3 linked regions of the Stegostoma tigrinum genome follow. The protein of the gene in region 2 interacts with the protein of the main gene of each other region in a biochemical or structural test. Links are inferred from orthologs where the notes say so. Each region holds a gene or a part of one and is shown on either strand. Other genes may lie near its edges.

What was found.
Region 1: the proteins of kdr (region 2) and shc2 form a complex in vitro, tested with the Homo sapiens proteins (2 studies listed by BioGRID). The link is inferred for Stegostoma tigrinum from reciprocal best matches to the Homo sapiens genes KDR and SHC2.
Region 3: the proteins of kdr (region 2) and hspg2 form a complex in vitro, tested with the Homo sapiens proteins (2 studies listed by IntAct). The link is inferred for Stegostoma tigrinum from reciprocal best matches to the Homo sapiens genes KDR and HSPG2.

The regions. Positions count from the first base shown.
Region 1 is NC_081383.1:1,006,851-1,014,399, forward strand, and holds the start of shc2 (SHC-transforming protein 2), read right to left. Parts: upstream 3,008-7,549; 5' UTR 1,907-3,007; coding exon 1,454-1,906; intron 1-1,453. UniProt on the Homo sapiens protein: Signaling adapter that couples activated growth factor receptors to signaling pathway in neurons. Involved in the signal transduction pathways of neurotrophin-activated Trk receptors in cortical neurons.
Region 2 is NC_081354.1:108,373,743-108,381,172, forward strand, and holds the start of kdr (vascular endothelial growth factor receptor 2), read right to left. Parts: upstream 3,015-7,430; 5' UTR 2,689-3,014; coding exon 2,625-2,688; intron 1-2,624. UniProt on the Homo sapiens protein: Tyrosine-protein kinase that acts as a cell-surface receptor for VEGFA, VEGFC and VEGFD. Plays an essential role in the regulation of angiogenesis, vascular development, vascular permeability, and embryonic hematopoiesis.
Region 3 is NC_081381.1:44,944,490-44,951,696, forward strand, and holds the start of hspg2 (basement membrane-specific heparan sulfate proteoglycan core protein), read left to right. Parts: upstream 1-4,200; 5' UTR 4,201-4,410; coding exon 4,411-4,479; intron 4,480-7,207. UniProt on the Homo sapiens protein: Integral component of basement membranes. Component of the glomerular basement membrane (GBM), responsible for the fixed negative electrostatic membrane charge, and which provides a barrier which is both size- and charge-selective.

The DNA of each region.
Region 1 (7,549 bases), on a different chromosome or scaffold from region 2:
ATCAAAACCATTGTCTCTTGATATTACCATTGCTAACTCTTCCTCTACGAAGATTCTAGGAGACACAATTGACATTCAACTGGCCTAACCATATAAATGCAGTGGCTACAAAAGCAGGTCAAAGGTTACAGATCTTGCAGCAAGTTACACATTTCCTAACTCTTCAAAGCCTGTCCACTGGCTACAAGGCACTAGTTAGGAGTGTGATGTTATACTGTCCACTTAACTAGATGGGTGCAGTTCCAATAACACTCGAGAAGCTTGGTATCCATCCAGGACAAAGCAGCCCCTACCTGATTGGCACCATATCCTCAAACACTCACTCTCTCCACCACCAACTCATAGCAGCAGTGTGTACTATCTGCAAGATGCACTGCAGAGATTCACCAAAGATCCTCAGGCAGCACCTTCCAAACCCACAACCACTTCCATCCAGGAGGACAGAAGGGCAGAAGATACATGGGACACCAACCCCTGCAAGTTCCCCTCCAAGTCACTCACCATCCTGATTTGGAACTAAATCACCATTCCTTCACCGTCATTGGGACAAAATCCCAAAGGGCATTGTGGGCATACCCACAAATCAAGCAGTTCAGGAAGGCAGCTCACCAGCACCTTCTCAAGGGCAATCCATGTTAAAGATGGGCACTTGGGGATGGGCACTCCCTAGTGGTATTATCACTAGAACAGCACCAGGCAGACCTGATGATGAGGTGCCAACCTGGTGAAGCCAAACAGGACCACTCGCACGCCAAACATCGTAAACAGCAAGTGATAAACAGAGCTAAACAACCTCACAACCAACAGATCTGCCTCTGCTAATCCCCATTGTTCCAGACTCCCCCATGTGAGGAAACATCCCGCCGACCTCTCACAAGCATCAACTCCTTCCTAGGAAGGGCTAAACTGCCCCTTTCTGTGTTAACACATAGAAAATTATCAAATATTTTCCTCAAGTCCCAACAAACGGCAACATTCACCTAAACTGTCCACCTGCTGCTTTTCCTCCAAAAATTCAATCAGAGAAGACCCAACCTTTGGAAAAGGTCATGTTTCTCGCTTTCTCAGACCCGACAGAAGTTTCTGTTCGTGATCAGCCTCTCTCCGCTGCATTATAGATTCTAATTACATTCTCATAAAGTAATTAAATGATAGATTCCAACGGCAGGACCACGTCAGATGCCAGGGTCCAGTGAGTCAATTAGTTCCTGGTTTCTCCTTGCCAATGATATGACCCTGCCTCAGCGACTGCTTTGGGAAGCGCTCTCTGCCCTGCCCTCTCCTGAGGACAGAGTTGGGGCTCGCTCTGGAGGCTCTAGGCTGCAGCTTGTTGTGGGCAATGGGGACGGACCACCCCCTCCTCCCCCCAAAACTACCTGCACGGGCACTGAGTGTGGTCTGCCCCCGGGGGAGTAGGGACACACACCAACACACTTCTGCCCCTGTTACTCACACGGACGATGTAGGAGACCCCGGGACCCAGGATCTTGGTATCTGGGTGTAACCAGCCTCCGGACGGTTTGTTGATGAAACTGCCTTTGCGATTCCACTCCCCCCCGGCCAAGCGCACTCCTTCCACCCGGACCCTCCGGCCACCCCCGGGCAGCCGTGCCGTGGCCTGGACAGAGCAGGGAGGGGGGCACAGCGAGTCACAGGATCCCAGGACAGTGGCCAGGCCGGGCCCCGGGGGGGGAGGCAGCCCTTTGGCCGGGTTCCTGCCTCCCGGCGACGCCGAGAATTTCCAGTGCGGGATTCTGGGGATGAGGGTGCAGAAGGTGGTGGAATCCTCCGGCTCTTCGGCCACGGGAGCTGCACCGAGCTGGCCGCTCATGGTCAGGCTGTGAAACAAGCCGCTTGCTGAGCTGGTCACCGACTCACTTCGAAACCGGCCATACTTCGGCTTCATCAGCGGAGCTGCCCCTCAGTGAAACCTCTCCACACTGAGACTGATCCTGTCCACACTCTCCTGCCCAGCCGCTGATGTCATTTGGGGAATTCATCATCCATTACCCAACAGCCAAACAGAGAGGGGGGGGTGGTCTGGGCACTCTCTCTCCCACTCACACAAACACACTCTCTCTCTCTCTCTCCCACTCTCACAAACACACTCCCTCTCTCTCACACAAACTCCCTCTCTCTCTCACACACACAGGGGCAGGAGACAGTCTGAGATCCCTCTCACAAACACACTCCCTCTCTCACACACGGGGCAGGAGAGAGTCTGAGATCGCTCTCTCTCACAAACACACTCCCTCTCTCTCACACACTCTCCCACTCTCACCAACACACTCCCTGTCTCTCACACACACACACACTCTCTCCCACTCTCACAAACACACTCCCTCCCTCTCACACACCCTCTCTCACACACACTCTCTCCCACTCTCACAAACACACTCCCTCCCTCTCACACACACTCTCTCTCCCTTCGCTCATAAACACACTCCCCCTCTCTCTCTATCACACACACACACGCACACGCACACACTCCCTCTCCCACACACCAACACACACACAGAGGCAGGAGAGAGTCTGAGATCGCTCTCCCTCACAAACACACTCGCTCTCTCACACAAAGGGGCAGGAGAGAGTCTGAGATCGCTCTCTCTCACACACACAGGGGCAGGAGAGAGCCTGAGATTCCTCTCTGTCACATACATTCCCTCTCCCTCAGATAAACACATTCCCTCTCCTTCACACACAGGGGCAGGAGAGAGTCTGAGATCTCTCTCTCTCTCTCTCTCTCTCTGCCTCTCTCTCACACACATACACCCTCTCTCTCTCACACGCACACACACACAGACACACACTCCCTGTCTCACATACATACACTCCCTATCTCTCTCTGTCTTTCTCTCTCTCATACACACACACTCTCTCTCTCCACGCACACACCCTCTCTCTTCCTCTCTCTCACACACACACACGGATACACACTCCTTATCTCTGTCTGTCTGTCTCTCTCTCTCTCTCTGTCTCTCTCTCTCCCACACACACACACACACACACACACACACACACACACACACACACACACACCCTATCTCTCTCTGAGATAATGGGAACTGCAGATGCTGGAGAATCCAAGATAATAAAATGTGAGGCTGGATGAACACAGCAGGCCAAGCAGCATCTCAGGAGCACAAAAGCTGACGTTTCAGGCCTAGACCCTTCATCTGATGAAAGGTCTAGGCCCGAAACGTCAGCTTTTGTGCTCCTGAGATGCTGCTTGGCCTGCTGTGTTCATCCAGCCTCACATTTTATTACCCTATCTCTCTTTGTCTCTCTCTCTCTCTCACACACACACACACACACACACACACACACACACACACACACTCCCTATCTCTCTCTGTCTCTCTCTCTCTCTCCCTCTCTCTCTCTCTCACTCACTCACACACACACACTCCCTATCTCTCTCTCTCTCACACACATACACACACACACGGGCAGGAATGCAGCAAGGAGGTGGTTGCGTTTGGTGTGGGCTGAACATTTTCCTGAATTTTTCTTCCTGTTGCATTTATCAACATCTCTGCCTCTGACATTTTTAGCTGATTGTATTTGCTCACTCTGATTGATTACAGAATCCTGTCCCAGTAAAATTGAGAATACAGGAACAGGCCAAGATTATTCCTCCCTTCTATCCTGTCCCACTGATTAGATTTTGCTTGGTCTCGGTTTAACTCCCAGTTTTTTGCATTGGTCTCATCACCCTGAGCTGTGGGGAGGGCAGTCTTGAACTTCAAGAGTAAAATAAAACAAAGAAGTGCAGGTGCTGGAGATCTGAAACCAAAACAGAAATCATTGAGAAAATTAGCAAGTCGGGCAGCTGCTGCGGAGAGAAAACAGTTAACATCATCATTTAAACTTCAAGAGGACATGGACAGTTTGGAGGAAAGGGCTAACAAATGGCGAATGAAATTTTAATGCAAACAAGCATGAAGTGATTTATTTTGGTACACAGAATATGGAGAGAAAATACAAAATAAAGGGCACAATTTTACAGGGATGAAGGTACTTGGATGTATACATGCATAGATCATTGGCTGTGTCAGGACAGGTTGAGAGCACAGTAAACACAGGACTGTGATCTGGTCTTTGTTGTTAGGGGCATGGAGTATAAGAGGAAGGAAGTGGTGTTAAATCGGTGATGAATACTGATTCAACCTCAGCTACGCCATTGTATTCAGTTCTGGGCATCACACTAAAGGAAGGACATCACCACATTGGAGAAGGCACAAAGAAGAACTTCAGTGATCTGGAGTAATTGGAAAAGCTGGGATCGTTTACATTGGAGAAGATTAAGAGGCAGTGAAAGTCCCGAGGGATCTGGGCAGGGTAAATATAGAGAAACTGTTCCTATTAGTCAAAGGATCAAGATCAAGAGAGCAGAGATTTAAATGATTCACAAAAGAAGGAAATGTGACATTTTTTATTCACTCATGAAATGTGGGTATTGCTGGTTGGGCCCAGCATTTCTTGTCCATCCCATGTTGCCCCTTGAGAAGGTGGTGGTGAGCTGCCTTATTGACCTGCTGCAGTCCATGTGCTGTAAGTTGACCCACAATACACTTAGGGAGGGAATTCCAGGATTCTGACTCAGCAGCACTGAAGGAATGATGATATAAAGTCAGGATGGTGAGTGGCTTGGAGGGGAACTTGGAGGTGGTGGTGTTCCCATGTATCTGCTGTCCTTGTCTTTCTAGATGGAAGTGGTCATGAGTTTGGAAGGTGCTGTCTGAGGATCTTTGGTGAATTTCTGCAGTGCATCATGTAGATAGTACACACTGCTGCAACTGAGCACCTGTGACAGCGAGAGTGGATTTTTGTGGATGTGGTGCCAATCAGGTGGGCTTTGTCCTGGATTGTGTCAAGATTTTTAAGTGTTGTTAAAACTGCACCCATCCAGGCAAGTGAGGAGTATTCCATCACATTCCTGACTTGTGCCTTGCAAATGATGACTTTGGGGAGTCAGGAGGTGAGTTACTTACCATTGTATTCCTAGTCTCTGGCTTGCCATTGTAGCCGCTGGATTTATATGGCTAGTCCGGTTCAGCTTTTGGTCAAAGCGCACTCCCGAGTACCTTGATGGTGGGGAATTCAATGATGGTAATGCCATTGAGTGCTGGGTGGCAATGGTTAGATTTGCTGTTGTTGGAGACTGCCTTGTATTTGGCCCAAACGTTATCTACCGTATACCAGATAAGTGCCAGACTCAGTTGAATGTGGACCTGATATCAAGGGTAGTCACTCTCACCACACACTTGGAATTCAGGTCTTTGTCCCTATTTGGATGAAAGCTGTACTGAGAGAGGGAACTGTGTGAGCGGCACAACCCAAACTGGCCATCAGTGAGTAGGCTCTTGCTAAGCATTATCAACTTTCAAAAGGACAAAAGAGAAGTCTGGATCAGGAACAGGCCTTTCGGCCCTCCAGGCCTGTGCTGATCATCATGCCCTGACTAAACTAAAGAACAAACATTCTGCCTTTATTTGGTCCATATCTCTCTATTCCCTCCCTATTCATGTAGCCATCCAGATGCCTCTTAAATGTTACCAATGTGCCTGATTCGACCTCCTCCTCTGGCAGTGCATTCCAGGCTCCTACCACTCTCTGCATGAAAAACTTCCCTCGCACATATCCCTTAAATTTTCCCCCTCTCACTTTGAACTTGCACCCCCTTGTAATTGAAACTTCAACCCCAGGAAAAGGTCTCTGACTACCCAAGCTATCTGTGCCTCTTATTATTTTGTACACCTCCATCAGGTCTCCTCTCAGCCGCTGTCTTTGAAGTGAAAACAATCCTCATCTTTTTAACCTTTCCTCATAGCCAATACCCTTGAGACCAGCCATAGTTCATCTGTCTTACCTGTTATACTTTTTGCATTGAAGTAAATACACTCCAGACCTCCAGTCCCTCCGAACCCTGTGACATCCCTCTGCTCGCTCTTACTCTGTGCGATGCATATCTCAGTCTCTCTTTTGTCCCGACTGCCTGCTCTTACTGGTCTGTTGTTCTGATCCCCTGCCCCAGCCCCTGCCACACTAGGTTAAACCACCCCCACCCGCCCCGCAGATCTGTAGCAAACCTCCCACCCAGGATATTGGTGCCCCACCAGTTAAGGTGCAACCTGTCATTTTTATCATTTTGCTGCTGCTCAATAGCAGAGGAGTAACTTTCCGCGTTGGAGTTGTCCTGGTTTCTGTCGTCATCAGAAAACACATTTCTGTACAGCGAGTGGCTTGGGTGCTTAAGTATGTGATGGAGGTAGCTTCAATTGAGGTATTCCCAAGTGAATTAGAAAGTTATTTGAAAAGGGCTACAGGGAGATGATACTAAATAGCACTGCTCCTTGTGAGGGTTTGCACAAATTTGATGGCCAAATGGTCTTGTTGTGTACTGTAACCACTTCGTGATTCACTCCTGACAAAATCAACAAACCTCAGTATCGGAGAGGGTTCCAGATTTCCACTCCTGTCTGTATGAGGAAGTGCCTCCTGACATCACCCCTGAACAGTCTGGCTCAAATTAAAAGGTGATTTCCTTCTGCTCTGGCCATTTCCCAACTACATCCCCACCCATCTCTATATAATGACCCAGTCATTATGCTCTTCAATCCTGGGTAGGTCTCCCCTTGACACAGTGCCAGTTATCAAACTCTGCTCCTTGGACCACAGCTCCCTTCTGTTATTCATTTCCCATCTGCTCTATTGCAGACAGCTGCATCTGTCAGGCTCTCATTTCTGTGCTCGGAAATTGCCCAGTCCTGAATGGGGACCTTTTGCCATTCTGACGCTGAAATACATTTAGCCAGAATGCTCACAGCCTTTTTGCTGCTTCAGCTGCCATTTACTTGCAACAGCAGGAGGCGGTGATTTACAGAATGGATGCAAACCTTATGGTTGGAATATTTTTAAGGAAGGTGAGGATTTAAGTATGAGAGTTTGCATCTTCCATCTCCCCACCATCAATGACCCTGCAACAGCTGTGTATGAAGCTGCATGAAAGAGCAGATCTGTAACTAGCACACAGCTGCTTCCATGTATCTGTCAACAATGACCAGCTTCCCATCTATTCAACTCAGTTTCAGTGGGAAACACTGTACATTGAGGGTTAAAACCATGGCTCAGGAGGACCACTCACTCTGCTTGGTCAGAATATAGTAGGTTCAAGGAATATGAATACATAATTCAGCTTGACAAGCCCCCCCAAGATGAAAACAGAAAGTGCCGAAGTAATTCAACAAGTTGGCAGCATCTGAGAAAAGAAAAACAGAGTTAGCGTTTTGAGTCCAACGTGACTCTTCACAAAGGAAAGGAATTGGAAAATGCTATTTTGTGTTATTGGCAGAGCAGGAAAAGGAGCAATTGGAACAGATTATGAGGTGCCCAAAGCAAAAGACTAAAGGAAAACTAATGGGCTAAAGGAGTGATTGAGGTGTAAGAAACAAGGAGGACAGAAGTCATGCTCTGAAGTTGTGAAACTCAGTATTGGGTCCTTGAGGCTGCCTCAGTGAAAAATGAGATGTTCCTTAAGCTTGTGTTG
Region 2 (7,430 bases):
TTTTCTCTGAACAAATTTCTTCACATGGCAACATCGACAAAAATAAAAAAAGGTAAATAATAACGGACCTTTACAAAGCCTTTCAAACACAAAATTGTGTATGGTTCATTTAATGGCAAAATGGTACGTTATATAAAAGACTGCGTTTTTTAAATGAAGATTTCCTTCTATCCAGCAACCAGATCACGGTTGTTACGACAATCGCTGACAGTGACACCCCGAAATGTGAATGGTATTTATTTTTATCCTGCTGTACAGGTATGCTGTATGCTGTCAGTCCATCTAATAAGGCTGCGGGAGGAGTGTGCAGGTCTGCTGGGTCCAAATGCTGATCTAAGTTCAATTTAAAGTATACAGAGATTCGCCTCGTTAGAAAGTCTGTCAGAGGGGACTTGCACTTATTGCCCAACAGATTTCCTCTGAACAGCAACTGCTCCCACGTCTCCTGCCCGTCTGTCATGAGCTACTTCAGGGAAACAATCCGTGTTGATAGCAGACTTCAGTAATCCTATCCACCTTGCCTCCTTCCACCCTTCCCCCCAACCCTCTAGCACCATTTACCCACCATTTACCTTTAATTAGCTACCAGGGAACTGCACTGACATTAAAACCTTGTAAAAATGAATCGCGGTAACCGCCCCAGGTCACTTTTCAATTTCCTTTTCTAGGAATACATTATGAAAAATGGCAGTTTTAAATCAAATTATTTTGTTTTCGTTCCTTTCCTTTCACAGGCCAAATTAGGTGCATGAATTATGATTTCAAGCGAGAGATGCTGGATCCAGGCACATAAAATCGAGATATATTTGAACGGTTCGTAAAACTGGGAGTGGTATTACTCAAGGGTCCGGGCTTTAATGGTTGGATATCATACGTAGTATGAGCAGTGGGTTTGCTCCCAGCAAGAGCGACTTGTGTTTAGGTAGGAGTGCGATCGGGACCCCATTATACTCCAGATGACAGAACAAATAGGAGCAGGAGTCGGCCATTCAGTCCCTCAAGCCTGTCCCCTCCATTATATAAAATGTCTGTCCCAGTTGTCAACTCCACTTTCGTGTCAGATTGTCATTGCCCTCAAATCCTCGACTTATTTCTTTTTTTTAATATATCTATCTAACCCCTCTTTATACCGATAAAGTTTCGGTTTGTTTTTCCTACGAACGTTCCTCTCCAACATTTATAGGGATCTCGGAGAGAATGGCCACCATGAAACGTGACTTCAGTCCGTAATGCTGCTACCCAGATTGTGAAGAATATCCTGGGAGAGAAGTTGAACTTGACAGCGAGTTCCACCATTTGTTTCGAAAGCCGATGGGGCTGCGTACCAGTAAAAGATATGCCTTCGGTCACCTGTCGTTCCTTTTTACCTCCCAGAAATCTCCATCGCACTTCCCCCGGCCGCTGGGCCCATCTCCACTTCCCAGCAGCTTCCTGAGCGGTGTAAAAGCTGAGCTCCTAAGGGAAGCGGCGTTCCCCCTGACTGATTTCAGTTCACAGTACTATTCCGCCCAGTTTTCACCAGGTTATGTTCTTGGGATAACTCATTTCACAATGGACCACCTATAAAAGTCCATACCACAAACTGAACCAGCAGCCAGAGTATTTACTTTTAACATAAATGAACTGCCGAACTGCCGTTCAATTTTATCCACAAGCTTTCGGCTTCAATACTGCATGACAGTACAGTCAGCAGAAGAGGACACTCGGTGAAATATAAATGGGCAGTAACCCATTGTAAATCACAGATCATTACAAAGTTTGCACTGAAATTCACAGTTGTCCAACTATTAACTAATCTTTGTATTTCACCGAACGGAGAATTCAAAGCGAATCCCAAGCCATCACAAAGACACACCAGATTCCTGTCATTTGTTAGATCCTGAGAATCTGAGCCGAGGGTTTCAGTGGTGCAGTTAGTGTCCCTACCTCTGAACCAGGAGGCCTGGGTTCAAGTCCCACCTACTGCAAAAATATATCTAAGTGATAGCATCTCTTGAATGGGTTGTTTAAATTTTTTTGTAATCTCACCCTCGGGCTCTTGTACTAGATAGCGTCCCTACCTCTGGGCTAGGAGGCGCGGGTTTAATTACCACCTGCTCCAGCGCTGTGTAACAGGATAATTAGAAAAGTCTAACCCTGAGCCTGCAGTGGGCTGTTAATTGGAACTAACCAGGGCACTACAAATGATTTGAAGCTCGACGTCTAAAGCTGCTTCATACAACGAGAAGGTTGAGTCTGCTTGGCTACTATCTGTTAGGGCTAACGTACCATTTATTTTTGTTCAATGAGATTTATCAAGTTATAGGTCGGACCCCCTGGTTCTGAATACAGTGGACGCCTCACATAGTCATTTTTATAATCTCAAAAAAGCATTCCCTGTGCCTTAGACTCAGTTATGTTTCTAACGAAATGTAATAGCACATGGAGTTAAATTCCGATAGAATACGTAATAATTGCACAATATTTTCTATAATTAGAAAACTACCTCAAATTTGCATTATAAAGTGCTTGCATTTTCTACAACGATTCAAGTTGAATTGTGCTCTGAATTCTTCAATTTGAATTTCTTGACATTCAATCCTACACACTACTTTGCCAGGTTAGTCTGCAAAACGCCCTCTCACCCGTTGCATTAGGAAATCCCGTCCACAGCCATACCAACAGCGCGAAAACCCACTTCTTCCACATGTCACAGTGGGAATGCCGGAATCCCAATGAACGTGGTCTCCCGTTGCTGTGCCAATCTGCTTCCTTTGTCAATATTCGCTGCTTCTCACAGCCTTATGTTCTTGCAGTCGATCGGACGGCGGAACATGTTAAAGTCACCTTTCAATGACTGAGGGTTAATAGGAATTCTGCAAAAGCCACTCGTGATAATCCAGGAGCTTTTCCTCTGATTTAGTCCGCCCTGAAAAGGAAGCTGCTGTAATTTTGAGGTCAGTTCAATGTGTGTCAAGTGGACATGGCAATTTGTGGATTATATACGGGAGGAGGTGCCGAACCATGAAAGTTGATCCATTCGTCACGTGACGTGACGGCGCTGTTGATCCTTAAACATCCCGAACAACCGGGAAAGTTATCACAAAATTGCAGTTCCTTGCGGGTGAAAACATGTTAGCACATATTGTTGAAAAAAATTGATTAGAACAATTCTACAACACGAACCTATAATTTTCTACATGTCGCAAGCATATACCACCACGCCTCATTAATAGTGTTTGGAAGCGAAAATAAATTTTATGGATTCCATTAAATTTTGCAAAGCCAGGAAGGGCAACGTGAAATATGCAGCTGAGCCTATGTGTATATTTGTTGTCGTCTCTAAATGGCGTTTACAGTTTTTCTTTTATTCATTCACGGAATAAGGATGTCGCCGGGCAGGCAGCATTTTATTGCCCAGAGGGCAGTTAAGAATCAACCACATTGCTGTGGGTCTGGAGCCACAGGTAGGCCAGCAATTTCCTTCACGAAAGGGCGTTAGTGAACCAAATGGGTTTTCCCCCGACAATAGGCAACGGATTCATAGTCATCATTGGATTCTTCATTTCCAGGTATTTAGTGAATTCAAATTGCATCAGCTGCCCTGGCGGGATTCGAAAGAAGATCCTCAAGACATCAGCTGGGTCTCCGGGTTAACAGTCCAGTGATAACACCACTAGGCCATTGCCTCCTCTTTTCGTCGGGAGTCGAACAGTGAGATGGTTAAATAGTATTTAGCACTTCTTGGCACAAAAAATAACCATTTACTGCCCAGTCATTTACTTTTCTAATTGAACGTATAAGCAGTTCTGAAGAAGGGTCACTGGACCTGAAACTACTTTCTCTTCAGAGATGCTGCCAGATCTGCTGAGTGTATCCAACAATTGCTCTTTGTGTTTCTCATTTCTAGCATCTGCAGTTCTTTCGAGATTTTGTTTTGACAACGGCAGTGCTGGGGTGGAAGTTGTTTGAATTTGAGCGTAGAGTTAGCTCTGAACTTTTCTCGAGGTATTTAGATGTGCCGAAGTGATGCCAAGGCTTTCAAGACAACGGGCCCAGTGCTGGAAAATGAGATTAGAATAATTCAGTGAGTGCTATTGACAGGTGCAGGCTGGGTAGGCCTTAGGCCTATTTTCTGTATTGCAGATCACATGCTACATCTGCTAATGAATTACGAAATCTTGGATTTAGCTGCATCAATTCGAAGTACTACCTTTTCCAGAGACACTTGAATATCAGGAGCATAAAATACATGAGATTCGACTTCACGTAATTTATTTTCAATACGTCAGTTATCTCCAGACAGCAGCTTTTTTTAAATTTAATTCCAAACAATAGCAATGTTTTACTTTAAATGCGAAAAGATTTATACATGCCCGTGACTCAGCCTTGCTTTCCCATCATACTTTACAAAAACGTTGTCATGTTGGTGAGTTCACTTTCCTGCTGCCCTTCCTTTATGAATTATTGCATCTACGCCCGCTACAATTCATTATAATTGTGCGTTTGCCAGCAAGGACACTCTTAAGATCGTGTCTTTGCTCCCGATCCTCTGACCCGTGAGTCAAACGCGATGACTGCAATAAATCTACAGAGAGCAGAGCAAGGATATCATTTCAGATGCACCTCATAGAACAAAACTATCGGTCATTTGGCAGAGTGGGCAGTGACTGGGTCTCATGAGCTGTAGTTTGTGAGACAAACAGAGAAAGGAGATGTGTGGCTGGGAAAGGCTGCAATGTTGGAGAAGTGCAGAAGTAGCGCGATGCCCATGTCAGTATTGATTTCCGGTGTTTTAGCAGGATGTCTTCAACTTTACCGCTATCTACACACCTCACAGCACCCCCTCATTGCATTGACGAGCAGTGGACACAAAAACCTGATTAGAAAAAGAGCAATCATTCGAGCTGCCACAGCAGTCTCGGCTAGAGATGTGGCTGACACCTGCAAGTCCCTACAGCACCAGGCTCTCGATCTGAGTCATGCTAGTGAGAGGAAACGCTGAGTTTGTTCTCCTTGGTATACACAACCTGTCTGGATGCAGGATTGTTTTATACATGTACTGTTTTGTACAAATACATTTCTGCTTTGCACGGCAATGCAAACAGATGACTCAAACCTCATTCAACACCCGTGGTAGCAAACAAATCTGTTACCTTACATTCGCAAGTCAGTTGTTTGCCTATAGTGCACGTGGGATATCAAGAACTACACTCTATACTGTGTAAGAATTCCTAATATCGAGGCTGCTTTGAGACTTTGAAGAAGAGCATATGTTCCATTCAAATCGACAGGAGGGATTGCTGTTGTATCTCTATACAGAACAATGTGAAGCTAACAGGAGTACAGTATGCCGCTTCTGAGACAGTCAGACTAGAGTTGTCGTGTTTATGTCAATGAGAGGGTAGTCACCGCCTTCAGTTGTACACAGAATGATGCAGGAATTTATCACCGGCATGAGTCACCAAATTCAGGAGGGGAAAGAAAATCAAGAAGAAAAGCGGAGATCTACAGAACAATTAAAAGAAGCTGCATACAACTTCCGAAGAAAGTAAAAGTTTTCAATTGTTATCGCCATTCAGGGTTAAACTTTCAGGCCGATGAGCTTTAGCCCAGAATTTCGCGACCTGGAATGTAAATAGTTTCCCCTTTTCTAGATGTTGCCCGGCCTCGCTGAGTATATGAAGAAATTTCTATTCGTGTTTTGGCTTCCAGCTTCCGCAATATTTTGCGTTTACAGTGAATTCAAACCTAGTTACAGACAATACAGCGCGGAGTTGTCTCTGACTCCAGCACCTGCAGTTCTTGCTACTCCTTCCTAGTTACATTGGGATGGTCAGAGTGCGAGCAGCTAGCTCAGAGGTCAGCAGCGGATAGGCCCGGAACCCGAGATAATAAAGTGTGAAGCTGGATGAACACAGCAGGCCAAGCAGCATCTCAGGAGCACAAAAGCTGACGTTTCGGCCCTAGATCCTTCATCAGAGAGGCCATGCTATTCTTTCGGTTGAGCAGTTTGCACGCTCCTCATGAGTGTGCAAAGGGTGGGATGATCGTGGCAGCGGAGTTTTATTTGAATTTTCAAGACCTTCAGGCAATAAACTTTACTCGTCAGCTTGCAAGTGCAGAGGTGGCTGGATTGAGGCAAGAACTGGACTTTGCTTATCTCTCTCTAACACTCAAACGGAAGCTGCTCCAAGTTGATGTGGTCAAACACTAAAATATGACCCTAATTAAGACCCACTCCGTCCTTATCGAGTTCCCAGAAGCTAGTCATTCAAGGCAACACAATTCCAAACACACTACAAACGGTACACACGCTGTTTAGTTTCCATCATGTGTCTTAGTGATGTAAATAGTTTACATGATTTGCCCAATTTTTATAAATCTATCAACTCTCCAAGTGTGGAAAACCACAGAAAACAATCCCACAGACTCCCTCACAGATTTGTTTTTCAATCATAAGCTGCTGCGCTGCTGACTATATATTATGACTTTATTTGTCAAGAACAGCAATCTTTAGAACGAACAGGAGGAGATTGACTCTATGACTGTCTTAGGGTCATATGTTCCGCCGAGGTTTACACAAGACCCAACTGTTTCACATTAAATCAAGCAAGCTATTATAACACATCGGAAAAAGCTGCCTTCACTTAAGTGCTTTTTTTTCCACAATGGGAGAGACTTCCTGTTCGAACGAATGTTTTGTTCGTCTTGCAGATGATCCCCCGCAGTCACGCCCGACCAGTTTCTGTCACGATTTCCAGTTGAGTAAAGAACTTGTTGAATTTCTGGTTCTCTGTTAGATAAGCACGAGGCGCGGCGCATATCGTTTGTGTGCTCCATTCCTTCTTGCCTGGCTCTTATCAACATGAAAAAACAAACTTTTAGGTCACGTGAAAACTGTGATGGCAGTATTGGAAGAGTTGCATGCCGAATATAGTCCAGGAGTTAATTCCCCTGATTGTGAGCAGTACCCGCTCCGACAGACTCCATGCGATTTTCTGCCTGGTCATTTTAAATATTTGGAAAATTATGTATAACGTGGCTCTGGAAATGCCGGTGCAAATTCCAGCGCGACACACGCTCTATTGTTTGCAACTGGTTAAACTACAGTTTCCCCAGAATCAAACTTTGTGTTAATCTTCACAAGGAGGGTAGGAAAGCTGGTAGGAGATAATGGGAACTGCAGATGCTGGAGAATCCGAGATAACAAAGTGTGGAGCTGGATGAACACAGCAGGCCAAGCAGCATCTTCGGAGCACAAAAGCTGGCGTTTTGGGTCTAGACCCCTGGCCCTTCGGCCTTGGACGTTGTGAAACCAAACTGAAGCCCATCTAACCTACATTATTCCATTATCATCCATATGTTTATCCAAGGACCGGGTGGGGAGAGGATTCTGAAATAAATAGGGAGAGAGGGGGAGGCCGACTGAAGATAGGTAGAGGAGAAGA
Region 3 (7,207 bases), on a different chromosome or scaffold from region 2:
TTCACACTTGGTTGTCTTGGATTCTCCAGCATCTGCAGTTCCCATTATCTCTAATGTTCTCGGGACCTGGGTTCGAATTCTGCCACAGCAGATGGTGGAATTTCAATTCAATAAATATCTGGAATTAAGAGTCTAATGCTGATCATGAATCCATTGTCAATTGTTGTAAAAAACCCATCTGGTTCACTAATGCCCTTTAGGGAAGGAAACTGCCATCCTTACCTAGTCTGGCCTACGTATGACTCCAGTTATAGGAAGCATATTATTAAGCTAGAGAGGATTAAGAAGAAATTTACCGGGATGTTGCTGTGTCTGGGAGGTTTGATTTATCAATAAAGGCTGGATAGGATGGGACTTTTATCACTGGATCATAGGGGATTGAGAAATTTACAAAATAATGACGGGTATAGGCAGAGTTAATGATAGTTGTCTTTTCTCTCGGATGGGGATTTTAAGACTAAGGGCACATTTTTAAGGTGAAAGGAGAGGGATTTAAAAAAGACTAGGGGGGCAAATTTTTTTCATGTGTGGAATGAACTTCCTGAGGAAGTGGTGGATGTGGGCACAGTTACAAAGTTTAGAAGGCATTTGGATAAGTACATGAATAGGAAATGTTTGGAGCAATATGTGCCAGGAGCATGCAGGTGAGATTGGTTAAGTTTGGGACTATGTTATGCATGGATTAATTGGGCTGAAGGATCTGTTTCCATGCTGTATGATTCTGTAGCTCCCCCTGTCTGTATGTGTTTCTGCTGGCTGTTCCCATTTCCTCCCACAGTCCAAAGATCACAGAATCGCTACAATGCAGAAAGAGACATTCAGCTCAACAAGTAAGAATTGACTCCCTGAAAAGCATCTCACCCAGACCCACCACTACCTTATCCCTTTAAACCTGCAATTCCCATGGCCAATCCACGTAACCTGCACATCTTTGGGCTGTGGGAGGAAATCGGAGCATCCGGAGGAAACCCACACAGAGACAGGGAGAATGTGCAAACTCCACACAGACAGTCGCCCGAGGCTGGAATCTGACCCGGGTCCCTGGCGCTGTGAGGCTGCAGGGCTAACCACTAAGACACTGTGCCATCCTCTCTGTGTAGATTAGCCATGCTAAATTGCCTCGTTCTGAGGAAGGGTAACCGGACCCAAAACGTTAACTCTGTTTTCTCCTTCACAGATGCTGAGCTTTTCCAGCAACTTTGTTTTTGTTCTTGACTTACAGCATCTGCAGTTCTTTTGGTTTTTATGTAAATTGCCCCATAGCGTCCAAGGATGTGCATGCCAGATGGGTTATTCATGATAAATGTGGTGTTACGTTGTATGGGGCTGTGTCTGGATAGGATGCTTTTCAGAGGGTCTGTGTAGACTCAATGGGCTGAATGGTCTCTTTCTGCACTGTTGGGATTTTATGATAATTATTCATAAAATCTGAGCATCAGCCATGGCTCAGTTAGTCATATCTTCTCCTGTCAGAGTGGATTCAAGTCCTTGAGCATAAATGTCAAATGCTGTATGGTAAGAAGTGCCTTCCTTTGGATGAAATGTGATACTGAGGTGTCGTCTGCCATCTCAGGAGGATATAAAAGATCTCATGCTACTATTTATAAAGAAGACAAGGAGAGTTATTCCCACTCTGGCCAAAATTCATCCCTCAATTAATATCCCAAAAACAAATTATATAATCATTATCATATTGCTGCTTGTGAGAATTTGCTTTGTACACATTTGGGACCAACAATGACCACACTTTAAAAGTACTTGATTGATTATGCAGCACTTTGAGGTGTCCGGAAGGCACTATACAAATTCAAATTCTTATTCTTTTTGAGGAAATGGGGAGAATGTTTCAAATAATGCTATTTGTCCAGAAAAGCAAGATAAATACAAGCTCTGTTTAACAACTTTTCTGAAAGATGATACCTCTGCTAGCATAGCACTCCCTTAGGTATTTTGTGAAGTGGGACTGGATGTTTTAACTCTGAGGGGAGGCTATTGCCTAGTGGTATTATTGTTGGACTGTTAATCCAGAGAACCAGATAATGTTTTGGGGACCCGGCTTTGAATCCCGTCATGGTGGAAATTGAATTCAATTTTAGAAAAACTGGGATTAAGAGTCTAATGATGACCATGAAACCATTGCTGGTAAAACCCATCTAGTTTATTAATGTTCTTCAGGGTCTTCCTAGGTTGTGGGCAATGTTCACAAGAATGGTTTCAGGGATGAGGAACTTCATTAAGAGAAGTTGGGACTGTTGTCCTTGTAGGATAGAGGGCTGAAAAGTGTTCAAAATCATGAGGTGTTCTGGACAGGATGGAAAGGTTGAACCCACTGTCAATCGTGAAGGAATTGCCACCTTATTTTGAATTCTCAGTGCAGTTTTGGTCCCGTTACCCAAGGAAAAACATTCATATCATACAGGGAGTGAATTGGAGGTTCTTGACATTGATGCTTAGGATGTTGGAGAGATTGAGAAGTCTGGGTCCATATTCTCTAGAGTTTTGAATAATAAAGTGTGATCTCATTGAAATGTGCAGAATCCTTGCAGGGTTCAATAGTTTGGACGTGGGAGAAGGAAGAAAGATGTATTAGCATTGGAGGTAGTCCAGAGAAGGTTCACTAGGGTGTTTCTGGGTATGGAGAAGAGTTGAGTAGATTGGTCTGTACTGATTGTAGTTTAGACAAATGAGAGGAGATTTTACAGAAATATACAAGATATTAAATATACAAAATATATCAGGGCTTGATAGGCTAGATGCAGAAAGGTTGTTTCCCCCTTGGGGACAGTCTAGGACCAGATGGCATAACTACGGAGTAAGGGGTAGTTCACTTAAAACCGAGATGAGGTGGCTTTTTTTTTGCTGAGTGTAGTGAATGTGTTGTAATCTTCACTGCTAAGGACTGTCGAAGTTGGTTAGACAGGTATATTCCAGGCTGATATAGACAGTTTTTAAAAAATCAGCAAGGGAATCAAGGATTATGGGGAAAAGGCAGAAAAGTAGTGAGGATTTACAGATCAGTCATGATCTCGTTGGATGGCAGAACAGACTCGACAGTCTGGCCTAATTCTGCTTGTATATCTCATGGCTGTGGAAGCTCAACCATTGAGCAAGTTCAAGAGGGAGATTGATATGTATGTGCAGATAGATGATTCAATTTGATTCATTATTTGTTTGATTTATTACTTATTATTTATTATTGGGAAGGCAATGGCTTAGCTGTATTATCACTAGATTATTAATCCAGAGACGCAGGTAGTGTTCTGAGGACCCGGGTTCAAATCCAGCCATCGCAGATGGTGGAGTGAGAAGTCAATGAAAATCAGGAATTAAGAGTTCAAGCACAGTGGCTCAGCAGTTAGCACTGCAGGCGCGCAATGCCATGATCCTGGGTTTGAACCCACCCTCGGGCAACTGTCTGTGTGAAGCTTGCACATTCTCTATGTGTCTGCGTAGGTTTCCTTCAACAGTCCAAAGATGTGCAGGCTAGGTGCATTGGCCATGCTAAATTACCCGTAGTGTTCAGGGGTGTGTAGATTAGGTGAGTTATAGGGGGATGGGTTTGGATGGATTGTTCTGAGGGTCAGCATGGATTTGTTGGGCCGATGGGCCTGTTTCCACACTGTAGGGATTTGATGGCCATGAATCCATGGTTGATAAAGAAAGATCAATCTAGTTCACTCAGGTTGAACAATGTTGTTCACAGAAGGAAATCTGCCATCCTTACATGTGACTCCCGACCCACAGCAGTGTTTTTGACTCTTGACAGCCCTCTGGGATGGAAAATAAATGCTGGCCAGCTCTCATGAATGAATAAAAAAAACAATTATTTTCACGTGTACTGGGATACAGTGAAAGCTATTGTTTTGCACGCTAACCAGACAAATCTTACCTTACGGAAGTACACCAGGATAATAGAACAGAATGCGGAATGTACCGTTACATCCACAGAGATGGCGCAGGTATAGGACAAGTCTAATAACAGTATCAGATAATGGCATTAATGAGATAAGGGAAGGGTGTGGGAAAGTGGTATTGATGCAGGTAATGAAGAACGGAGGGGCTGAAGAGCCGCCTCATCCCCCTGTGTGGAATCTGTGAGCTCCAGCTCCTGAAAGTCCAGTCCAGAGAGTGTGGAAGGGAGTGGATCCGCTCCTGGGGGAAATCCAGGGAGAGTTTTAGTGAGAGCTTTGGGCAGAGGCTCCGAGCTCAGGCAGTGAGCGAACTTTGTGCGCAAAGGAAAAGTTGGGCTGTCCTCCTCGGACAGAGCAGGGAGCGGCCCCACTCAAGGATTTTGACTGACTTTCTCCTCCCAGCCCCGGCAGCCGATCACCGGGGGGAGATTTTAAAAAAAAGAAATTGTGGTGGGGGTGAGAGGGAAAAGGGGGCAGAAAAGATCCGTGAAGAGGGGAAATGGGCCGGAGGAAAGTGTCGCTGCTTCACTGGCGGCTCCTCACCCAAGTTCTTGTCTTCTCTGTTTCTGTGAGTACAACTGTTTCCACACTACCGTCCACCGCCCCCCATCCCACCAAAAAAAACTTTTCCTTCGCGTTTTCTTGCGTTTCTCGGTAGATTTTGAACGGAGTTTACGTGGCGCGGGAGGGCGACTTTCCTCAAACCAGGAGTCCAGCTGAAATTTTCAGAAACTCTTGGGGAAGTTTGGACGAACTCTCGGAGCTCGAGCTGGGATGGACAAGGTCGACGGAAGCACTTTGGGGAAATTCTCTAAGCTTGCACCTTTTCTGAGTTGGCTCCAGATCCTTGGGTGTATTTGTACGAAAGAGAGCAAAAAGAAAATACTGGTAGCAAAGGCTAATTTTATCCAGTCTGGAACTGTTGCCATGGCTTGAAACCTATTCTTAGTTTCCTCCAAATCAGTCTGACCAGCTATCTGCTGGTCCCGTGTTATTCTTGCATAAATAAGCTTGAGCTTGAGAAGATGATTGTAATAATAAAAAAGCAAAAATAAATTTTAGACAAGTGTTTAAACTGCAAGATACTAGAAATCAAATCAAGTGGTGAATTTGGATTGTAAAGTATGTTCAGCTTGATGCATACTTCTTTCTGGGCTCTCAGGGACTCCCTGAAGTCACAGTACTCTTTATACTGGTCTTAATCTAAAGGTTATGGATTAAATGACACCCTGATATCTAGCTTCACCTCCTTTCCCATTCCAGCTAGGGTACATTATGATCCAGGAGCACGGAATCACCGGCATTAGAGAAAGATGGGCTAAAACTTTAGAAGCCTGCTTAAGAATCTTTTTTGCTTTATCTGGTTTTGTACTTCTAGCTGAATTGTAATGTCGGGCTTTCATAAATTCTGCTGTCCCCACTGCAATGTTGGAGCAGATACTAGCCTACCACAGGACATGTTATAGGTCACGTCTTGGAAATGTGAAAAGTTGTGGGTTGCTCTGATGGTGTGAATTGAAGCTTTGTGAAGAGTGTTTAAAACTCAGGACGATTTCTGGAAATAGTGTGAATTCTGTCAAATCAGCTCCTGGCAGAGTCGCAGCTCTGGTATACTGCTCCTTTATTATGTGACCAAGGCTTCAGAAACCCTTAAGAAGTAATTTAGGAGAGGCGTGTGAAACCAGTATGCAGGTTAACTCTGCAGCTGGTAAACTATCAGTCTTTCAGGTCACGAGGGTTTTAGATTTGAACCCTGCTCTTTGTTTAGGTGCATGGTCTCAGCGGGTGGAGTAAAGGCTCTGTCTTCGTGCCTGTGACCTTTTGAGGTGGAGGAGTGATTGGGGATTGAGCAGTGATCTTGAGTCTAGTAGTTGGGTGGGTTGGACTGGATTTGAGGCTGCTGTCATCGCCTCACATTCAGCGTCAATGTGATATGGAGTGAAGGGATTCTGACTGCAGTGGAGCTAGATGTTCATTACACAACACACCCCCTACACCTCTTCATTATTGGCTTCAGTAACAAGCAAATGCAAGTGAGACCAGTGACAGGTCTGATCTGCATGTACTTCCTTACTCCTGTCGTTGTTGGAAGTGGGCCATTCTCTTTGTTTATTCTTTCACTGGATCTGGATACTGCTGGGTTTATTACCCACCCCAAGTGCCCTCGAGAAGATGGTACTGAGGCGCCTCCCTGTATATGTACTTTTGTGGTATATTCTCCTATAAGATTTGACATTCTGTTACTGTGCAGGCGTGTGACTTATACCAGTGCACTGGTGCATCTAGCATGGATCACTGCATCCAGTGAATGTGGAATGGAGTTTGTAGCCTGTCAATTTGAATATAAAAGGCAATCAGATAAAATCTCTCCAGTCTGCTTTTCTGCTCTTTATACGATAATGTAAGAGCCCTAACTGAAATCTGGAACAAGTCATGGTGCTCTGTCACCTCCACCCTTCCACTATGACCTTTTTGCTACAGTCTCCGTGGTTGATCCTTCTCCAGCAGATGCTTGACCCCTCCTTTACCATCTGGGCAGCCAAATCATCTGCCTGATTATGTATTTTTTTTAATCACACGCTCACGCACATTCAACATCTCCAGCAGTTGCCTCAGTCTGATCTTTCTCTTGGTGATACGATCCAAGGGATGAGATCAGATTTGACCCAACCACTGGTGGTGATCGGCATGATTTCCCAACGCACCTCTTAACCTCTAATCAGCTCTTCGGTTTGAATCGTAACCCAACATCATTGACAAGTCGAAGCTTTCCCCTGGCTCATTGTTGGAAAGCCTGATGCCAGTTGAATGCCTCTGCTTGCCTCCTGCCTCTGGCTACTCTTGCAGTGAACTAGGTCATTTGTGAATTTATCCTCTCAGATGCTGAACTTCAAACCCCGGGTAACCTCTGTCTCTTAAGCACTTAACTTCTACCTTTGGAACCTTGTGTACCTCCAAAATAACACGTTAATTTCACACAGACCTCAGTATAAAGGGTGCTTCCTCATGTTAGGCCTAACCAGACTGCTGGAACATTCTCCGCAGAATTTTCCCCATAATCCAACTCTGGAAAGTGTGAACATATCTGGTGGCCAGAATGGGAGTAGAACTTGAGGTTGTCGAGTTGGAGAATGTTACAAAACAGGAAGAGATAAAGGTCTTGGGAGGTGCAGGCGGTTGAAAATGAGGATAAAAATTAAAAAATGAAGGCATTGGTCAACACGGAGTCGTGGTTGGTCAGTAAGCACAGGGATGAAGAACAGACGCTATGGTTAGACATCTCTACCTCAGTGACA